Linked DNA regions of Callithrix jacchus. The protein of the gene in region 2 purifies or fractionates together with the protein of the main gene of each other region. This does not show direct contact. Links are inferred from orthologs where the notes say so. Each region holds a gene or a part of one and is shown on either strand. Other genes may lie near its edges.

What was found. Proteins that work in one complex are often made in the same cells at the same time.
Region 1: the proteins of MYLK4 (region 2) and HSP90AB1 purify together in Homo sapiens (affinity purification with mass spectrometry; 3 studies listed by BioGRID and IntAct, counting the BioPlex papers as one, with this or other methods). This does not show direct contact. The link is inferred for Callithrix jacchus from reciprocal best matches to the Homo sapiens genes MYLK4 and HSP90AB1.

The regions. Positions count from the first base shown.
Region 1 is NC_133505.1:52,714,456-52,717,849, reverse strand, and holds part of HSP90AB1 (heat shock protein HSP 90-beta), read right to left. Parts: intron 2,759-3,394; coding exon 2,552-2,758; intron 2,450-2,551; coding exon 2,290-2,449; intron 2,087-2,289; coding exon 1,953-2,086; intron 1,819-1,952; coding exon 1,510-1,818; intron 1,129-1,509; coding exon 963-1,128; intron 750-962; coding exon 559-749; intron 433-558; coding exon 285-432; intron 171-284; coding exon 1-170. UniProt on the Homo sapiens protein: Molecular chaperone that promotes the maturation, structural maintenance and proper regulation of specific target proteins involved for instance in cell cycle control and signal transduction. Undergoes a functional cycle linked to its ATPase activity.
Region 2 is NC_133505.1:28,780,410-28,785,305, reverse strand, and holds the start of MYLK4 (myosin light chain kinase family member 4), read right to left. Parts: upstream 3,048-4,896; 5' UTR 2,903-3,047; coding exon 2,781-2,902; intron 1-2,780. Other genes in the region: ATPase WRNIP1, read left to right, coding at 3,496-4,320.

The DNA.
Region 1 (3,394 bases), about 24 Mb from region 2:
TGGTAGCTCCAGACCCTCCTTGGTAACTGAGACCAGGCTCTTCCCATCAAACTCCTTTAGTTGCTGCACACAGTATTCGTCAATGGGCTCAGTCATATAAACCACCTCAAAGCCCCGCTTCCGGACTCGCTCCACAAAAGCTGAATTGGCCACCTGCTCTTTGCTCTCACCTGTAGGGTTATTAAATGGACTCAGTGTTCAAAGTGCCTCAGACTGCCAGTTCCCAGGTAGCCCTGAATGTGCTCCCTCTTCCTCCAAAAAGGCTTCGATCAGAACCAACGTACCAGTGATGTAATAGATGGACTTCTGTGTCTCCTTCATGCGAGAAACATATTCTGACAGAGATGTCATCTCATCTCCAGACTGGGAGGTGTGATAGCGCAGCAGCTCAGACAGGCGGCGACGGTTAGTGGAATCCTCGTGAATTCCAAGCTTGAAGAGTGGGAAGAGAAAAAAACAATCCAACTTAACTAAAATAACCTTGCCTTCTATAAGAATGGTAGAATTTATCGTAATTACTAAGAAAGTGGTAAAGGGAATAACCATGTGCCTCCTTACCTTGAGATTTTTAGAGAATGCCTCATAGAATTTCTTATAATTCTCCTTGTCTTCTGCCAGCTCAGAGAAGAGCTCAAGGCATTTCTTAACAATGTTTTTGCGAATGACTTTCAAGATTTTGCTCTGTTGGAGCATTTCTCGGGAGATGTTCAGAGGCAAATCCTCAGAGTCAACCACACCACGGATAAAGTCTGCCATCAACCAGGATGAGAAAACTCAGTAAAAACAGCTAGACCAGACCTGGTACCCAGATTCAAAGAGAAGGCGCTATTGCCCCCTGAACCCTCACACACTATGTATTGCAGAGAACTATTACACCTAGGAATAAGACTTTTTAGTTGCAGAATGTTGAAAACCTTGCCCCAAGACTTCACCCAACTAAATTATGCCAAGGACATACTCACTGAGATACTCTGGTATCAACTCATCACAGCTGTCCATGATGAATACACGACGGACATAGAGTTTGATGTTGTTCTTCTTCTTCTTGTTCTCAAAAAGGTCAAAGGGAGCCCGACGAGGAATGAATAGCAATGCCCTGAATTCCAACTGACCTTCTACAGAAAAGTGCTGAAAGAATCCAAACATAAACAAGTAGTAGTACATTTCCAAAGAGTGCCTTTTAGCCCCAACAAATTACCTAAAAGTGGAACAATGATCCTCCCTAAGCCTAAAGGACAAAGCACACACAACAGGCAGCTCTCTAGAAAACCGAGCCTTAATGCTCTCAATGATCAGGGGCAGACATTACCAAGATTACCATCAGAAGACAAAGTGAGGTCATTAGGAAGGATAGCTCCTCACTGTGACAGGGTAATCAATGAAATCACATGGTTCTCAACATTTCTGTGATCAGGAGGACAAGTTCCATGTGTCTATTACCTGCCAAAACGCCACCTACTCACTCCTCTCCATATTTGTATGTTGAGCCAATGTGCAAGGGCTTCTCACCTTGACTGCCAAGTGGTCTTCCCAGTCATTGGTGAGGCTTTTGTAGAATTCTCCATACTCCTCTTGAGTGATGTCATCAGGGTTTCTAGTCCAAATAGGCTTAGTCTTGTTTAGTTCTTCCTGATCAATGTATTTCTCTTTGATCTTCTTAGTTTTCTTCTTCTTATCCTTACCACTATCATCCTCCTCGTCTGAACCCACATCTTCAATCTTGGGCTTTTCTTCATCATCTTTATCTTCCTCTTCTTTCTCACCTTTCTCTTCCTCTGCCTCATCATCACTAATTTCCTTCTCTCGTTCCTTCTCCAACTAAACAACAAAAACAAAAGTTAGCCTTGAGTACTAACCACTAACAGGGAAAGCAAAAGCCAGGGCCCATGATGACTCCAGAACAGGAAACACCCTGCACGTTAAGTGAAAAAGGTTTAAAAGTCCACACTCACATAGAGGGTGATGGGATAGCCTATGAACTGAGAGTGCTTCTTCACTACTTCTTTGACCCGCCTTTCTTCTAAGTACTCTGTCTGATCTTCTTTAAGGTGGAGGATCACTTTGGTACCCCTGCCAATGGGCTCACCTACAAGAGTCAGTCACAAGCATGTAACAGGGTGAAAATATAAAAGCAGTTAAGACTTCACCAAGCCAAAAAAAAAAAAAAAAAAGTATATTAGCGAGGCTGCTATAATTTCAACTGCTTTACAAACAGGATGCTAAAAATTTCTGCCACTTCACAAGCCCAGAAAACTCCAACCCAGCTTAACTTGTAACGGGAGAGCTTACCATGGTCAGCACGCACAGTGAAGGAACCTCCAGCAGAAGACTCCCAGGCATACTGTTCATCATCATTGTGCTTTGTGATCACAACCACTTTCTCTGCCACCAGGTAGGCAGAATAAAAGCCAACACCAAATTGCCCAATCATGGAGATGTCTGCACCAGCCTGCCAACAAGTTATTTAAAGTCAAACACAAGTTTTCGAAAAGCAACAAACCAAAGCACACTGACAAATATGAATGGTGTGTGCCTGCAAAACTGCACATACCTGAAGAGCCTCCATGAATGCTTTAGTACCAGACTTGGCAATGGTTCCCAAATTATTTATGAGATCTGCTTTGGTCATGCCAATGCCCGTGTCTACCAAAGTCAAGGTACGTTCCTGAGGGTTGGGGATGATGTCAATTTTCAGCTCTTTACCACTGTCCAACTTTGAAGGGTCTGTCAGGCTCTCATAGCGAATCTTGTCCAAGGCCTGAAAATACAAATAGGAATTTGCTTTTGTTTTCCCTTTAAGACAGGCTCTGGCTCTGTCGCTCAAGCTACGGTGCAATGTTAAGGATCACAGCTCACTGCAGCCTGGACCTCCCAGGCTCAAGCCACACTCCCACGTAGCTGGACTACAGGCACATGCTACCATGGCCACTTAATATTTTTTTTTTTTTTGCAGAAACAAGATCTTGCTATGTTGCCCTTAAAGTCCTAGATTCAAGTGATTCTCCTGCCTTGGCATTACAGGTGTGGAGCCAACAGCTCGACCAATTTTTTTTTTTTTTTTTTTTGAGACAAGTTTGGCTCTTGTTGCCCAGGCTGGAGTGCAGTGGCGCAATCTCAGCTTACTGCAACCTCTGCCTCCTGGGTTTGGGTTCAAGTGAATCTCCTGCCTCAGCCTCCCAAGTAGCTGGGATTACAGGTACTCGTCACCATGCCCAGCTAATTTGTTGTTGTTCTATTTTTAGTAAAGACAGGGTTTCACCATGTTGGCCAAGCTGGTCTTGAACTCCAGGCTAGTCATGATCCACCTCCCAAAGTAGTGGGATTACAGGCATGAACCACTGCGCCCACTTTTGTTTTGTTAAAGCCCTTATCTTCAAAGAAAATCTTGGTGTAT
Region 2 (4,896 bases):
TGGACTCAACTGTCCAGCATACCCTGCGTATGAAAACGAGGGTGCAAGATGATGCCTAAAGGTTCGCTAATACTTGGACGCTTATAAAATACCTGCTCGTAGGCACTGCAGCCAAGCTGACTCTACTTGTGGTTCCCGACAGAAGGTCTATCTGAGTCACCACTGAATCTATCCCCCCGATTCTGACTCGGGGAAGGAAGACAGAGAAGATGGTTACATACTTAAAAGTAAACCCCTGAGGCCACCTGCAGACAATTCAACAGTGAGGTATTAAAGGAGAAAATGGAAGCCCAGATTTCTGCTTTACATTGATGTCATCTCCTAAGACCTTATAATACATGAGTTTAAATTTATTTGTATTTATGGTGATCTGAAAAGAAAGTTTAAACATGGTTGGCAAAGCAATAGAAGAGGAGGGGTGATTTTTCAAAGGATTTTTCATTTATTTTTCTACCATCGCCACCTAGTGGAGAAAACCTTGAACTTCAGACAGAGGGGGCTAGGGTTTAGGAAAAAAAGAATATAGGGCCTACTGGGTGCCAGGCACTATACTACTTTGATATTGACAAGTTCATTTAATTCTCACAACAGACTGTGGGGTAGGCATTCTTATTCCTCCTTTAGATTTGGAAACTGAGTCTGAGAAGTTATATAGTTTTTCTCAAGGTCACGCTATGGACATCAAAACCCGGGTTCTTAAAGTCAAGGTCTAGTGCCATTTTCACCTTATAGTTCATCCAAATAACTCAACTTCATCTATACGTGTGGCCATGGGAGTAAAATACATACATACATACATATACATACACACACACACACACACACATATGTACATACACACGGAATCTTTGCTTTGTATTTCTTATACGTATTATATAGATTAGTAAAGCACAAATAAAAAGGAAATGGAATTATACTATATATACGCTTTATATCTCTTAATTTTTACTCCCACAGTACATAATAGTTTCCCATAACAATACTTTTGAAAACACTTACGTAACAATAAAGTTGGACACAGAATTACATCTGTATGTAAGTACTGTCTAATCTTGAAATACACCTTAAAAGACTAGGAAAATGTGCTAAAATGCTAACAATGATTATAAGTAATTTTCTATGGCATGTATTTTTTTTTAAAAAGAAATTTTAGGCCTTACATTTATTAAAAGAAGAGATTTGGCCAGACGCTCTGGCTAATGCCTGTAATCCCAGCACTTTGGGAAGCCGAGGCGGGCAGATCACGAGGTTAAAAGATCGAGACCATTCAGGCCAACATGGTGAAACCCTGTCTCCACTAAAAAAAAAAAATACAAAAAATAAGATGGACGTGATGGCGCGCGCCTTAGTTCCAGCTACTTGGGAGGCTGAGGCAGAATTGCTTGAACCCGGGAAGCGGAGGTTGCAGTGAGCCAAGATCACGCCACTACACTCCAGACTGGCGCCTGGTGACAGAGTGAGACTCTGTCTTAAAAAAAAGAGAGATTCAAGAAACTTCACAATTGTCTAGTTTGTTATTATTTAAAAAATTTTTTGGATGGGTTAAGAGTGATCATGTGTCCATATATTTCTATAAATGTTTAAAATCGGTGTAGTATATTTCCAAATTTAATAACACTTTTCAAAACCTGCTTTGAGGTCGGCCCTAGAACCTCTTTTTCCAAGAAGTACTTGCTTCTGTGATGTTCCTGTGATGGTCCTTCTGAGGGACAAATAAAAATAAAAGCTCAGGTGGGCGTGGTGGCTCATGCCTGTAATCTCAGCACTGTAGGAGGCTGAGGCAGGCGGATTACCTAAGGTTGGGAGTTCAAGACCAGCCTGACAAACCTGGAGAAACCCTGTCTCTACTGAAAAAAAAAAAAAAAAAAAAAAAAATTAGCTGGGCTGGTCGCGCATGCCTGTAATCTCAGCTACTCGGGAGGCTGAGACAGGAGAATCACTTGAACCCAGGAGGCAGAGGCTGCAGTGAGCCGAGATCACATCGTTGCTCTCCAGCTTGGGCAACAAGAGTGACACTCCGTATCAATCAATCAATGAAGCTTACGATCCTCTGTCTTTTGCACGATTTCAAATTATACGATGATAAACGAAATAAAATTTCTTAACTCATGTTTCTCTAGCTTTTCTATTAATCTTATTTTTGAGCCTAACTTTTTTAGTTAGAAAAACTTTTAACCATCAAGCCAGGTGTCGTGGCTCAGCCTGTAATCCCGATGACTAAAAAGACTGAGATGGGAGGGTCCCTGGCGCCCAGGAGTTCGAGGCTTCGGCATTCCAGCCTGGGCGACAGAACAAGTGAGATCCTCAAGCTGCTCTTCTGCAGATTAAATAAAAATTCCACGTCTGCCAAATTTCATAAAAGTCTTCCTTCTCCCTCAATTCACTTACGTCCTCTGGTTACCAAAAATGCATGATTAAGATACATATTTTAAAACGAAATATTTACAGAAAAGCAGAAAATAAAATCACAGAACACGGTAATTCATTCAGAGATGCAGAATGCCACACTTGCTTTAATCTGATATTCTATTTCTATCCCTGTCTACGACGTAACTGCACACGGGCACCTCTCATCATTTGGTTGCTAAGGAAACCTAAGGCTCCTGTTTCCGATTTGCCCCTATCACACAGTGGCCCGCGAGAAGAATCTCTAGGCTCGAAGCGCGCTATAAGTGAACCACCCTTGACTAAAAAGGTCAACAATTCTAAAAGGGGGCGAGGGACTTTTATTTGCATTTCTCTGGCCGCCACTGAGGTGAGCATTTCTTTCACCTGCGTACTTGTTTGTATTGTTCTGCTGTTCAGGTCCGTTGTCCAGTTTTCTACTGGAGCCTTTTGGGGGTGTTCTCCATTTCCTTTTAGTTATAAACGACCCGCTGCGGCCTCCTCCTGTTCCTCCCATTCATCAGCCGGGCGCAAAAGACCGGGAAAGCGACGCTCGCCGCTACAAGAATTGCAGGCAGTCCACCGCTCCGCCCCGCCCCGCCGTCGCGCGCCTAGCAGGCTCGAGTGGGGCGCTGCCTCCTCCACCGCTCAACCTCGCGCACGCGCAACACGCTCGCCCAGCGACCCGCCCCCCCCTCACAAATGCCGGGCTCATAGCCGGAAATGGACGCACGGCGGCTGGGGCGAACGGCTGCGGACTACACTTCCCCAAGTGCAGTGCGAGGTATTGTCGGCGGAGATTGGGACAAATGGCCACAGACTACACTTCCCGACACGCCGCGCGGCGAGGTGCGGCCGCCGGGACTAACAGCAGTGGACTACACTTCCCGACACGCCGCGCAAGGCGCTACCAGCGGCCGGCCGAGGGCGGGCAGACGCGGGAGCTGCGGACGTGAGGCATGAGCTGCGCCCTCCCTCGACCCGCTAGCGTCCTGCCGGCTCCCAGAGCAAGGGTCGCGCGGCGCGGGGCCTAGTGGAGGGCAGCAGAGGCCTCAGCGTGCGCACGGGCTGCTGCGGCCGCGCCGGGCGCCGGGGAGAGCGGCGGCCGCCATGGAGGTGAGCGGGCCGGAAGACGACCCCTTCCTCTCGCAGCTGCACCAGGTGCAGTGCCCCGTGTGCCAGCAGATGATGCCCGCCGCGCACATCAACTCGCACCTGGATCGCTGTCTGCTGCTCCACCCCGCGGGACACGCGGAGCCCGCGGCCGGGTCCCACCGCGCCGGCGAGAGGGCCAAGGGATCCTCGCCACCCGGCGCCAAGAGGCGGCGGCTGTCGGAGAGCTCCGCGCTGAAGCAGCCGGCCACCCCGACGGCAGCCGAGAGCAGCGAGGGCGAGGGCGAGGAGGGCGACGACGGCGGCGAGACCGAGAGTCGTGAGAGCTACGACGCGCCGCCCACGCCCAGCGGCGCCCGCCTCATCCCCGATTTCCCGGTGCCCCGCTCCAGCAGCCCCGGGAGGAAGGGGTCTGGGAAGAGGCCGGCGGCCGCGGCTGCAGCGGGGAGCGCGTCTCCGCACAGCTGGGACGAGGCGGAGGCGCAGGAGGAGGAGGAGGCGGTGGGCGACGGCGATGGCGATGGGGACGCGGACGCCGACGGCGAGGACGACTCGGGGCACTGGGATGCGGACGCTGCGGACGCCGCCGCCGCCGCCTTCGGGGCCACCGGCGGGGGCCGCCCGCACCCCCGGGCGCTGGCGGCCGAGGAGATCCGACAGATGCTAGAGGGCAAGCCGCTGGCGGACAAGATGCGTCCTGACACGCTGCAGGACTACTTCGGGCAGAGCAGGGCGGTGGGCCAGGAGACCCTGCTGCGCTCGCTCTTGGAGACCAACGAAATCCCCTCGCTCATCCTATGGGGGCCGCCGGGCTGCGGCAAGGTGAGTGCCGCCTTGGCCGCAGGGCTTTCATAGTTATCTTGGCCGTGAATGCCGCTGGCGGTCCCATAGCCGGGTATGCTGCCCCCAAAGAAGCCGCCTGGCTTGCCTGGATATGAAGGCCCAGAAGTGCAGACGCAGCCTACGTAGCTGGGGCAGTGCCTGGTCCACAGGTGGAGTCTGTGATGGGTGTGAAAACGGCACACACCCCCCTCCCCAGATTCGTAAGGCAGGCTTGCCGAGTTTTAAAAATAACGTTGTCTGTGAATCCATAGTTTTACAAGATGTGGACTCTTAGATTTGATCTGCCTTTATCTTCCATCAGCCTCCCTGCCCGCTCCCCAGTCTTTGATTTAGTAACTGAATTCTCCAGGAATCAGCAAGTTTAAATTGTAAAGAAACATTTGTGTATTCCGTTTGTACCTAATAGTGTTTCAGCTTTGGAAAAAAAAAAAAAAAATCAAATTCTGTTGTGCTTCCTTCCCTTTCCACTAGTTGTTGGTTTAACAGACTGATATTTTTATTTATTCTTGAGAATATGTTTATTTAACATTCTTATATTCTTGAAAATATATTTAT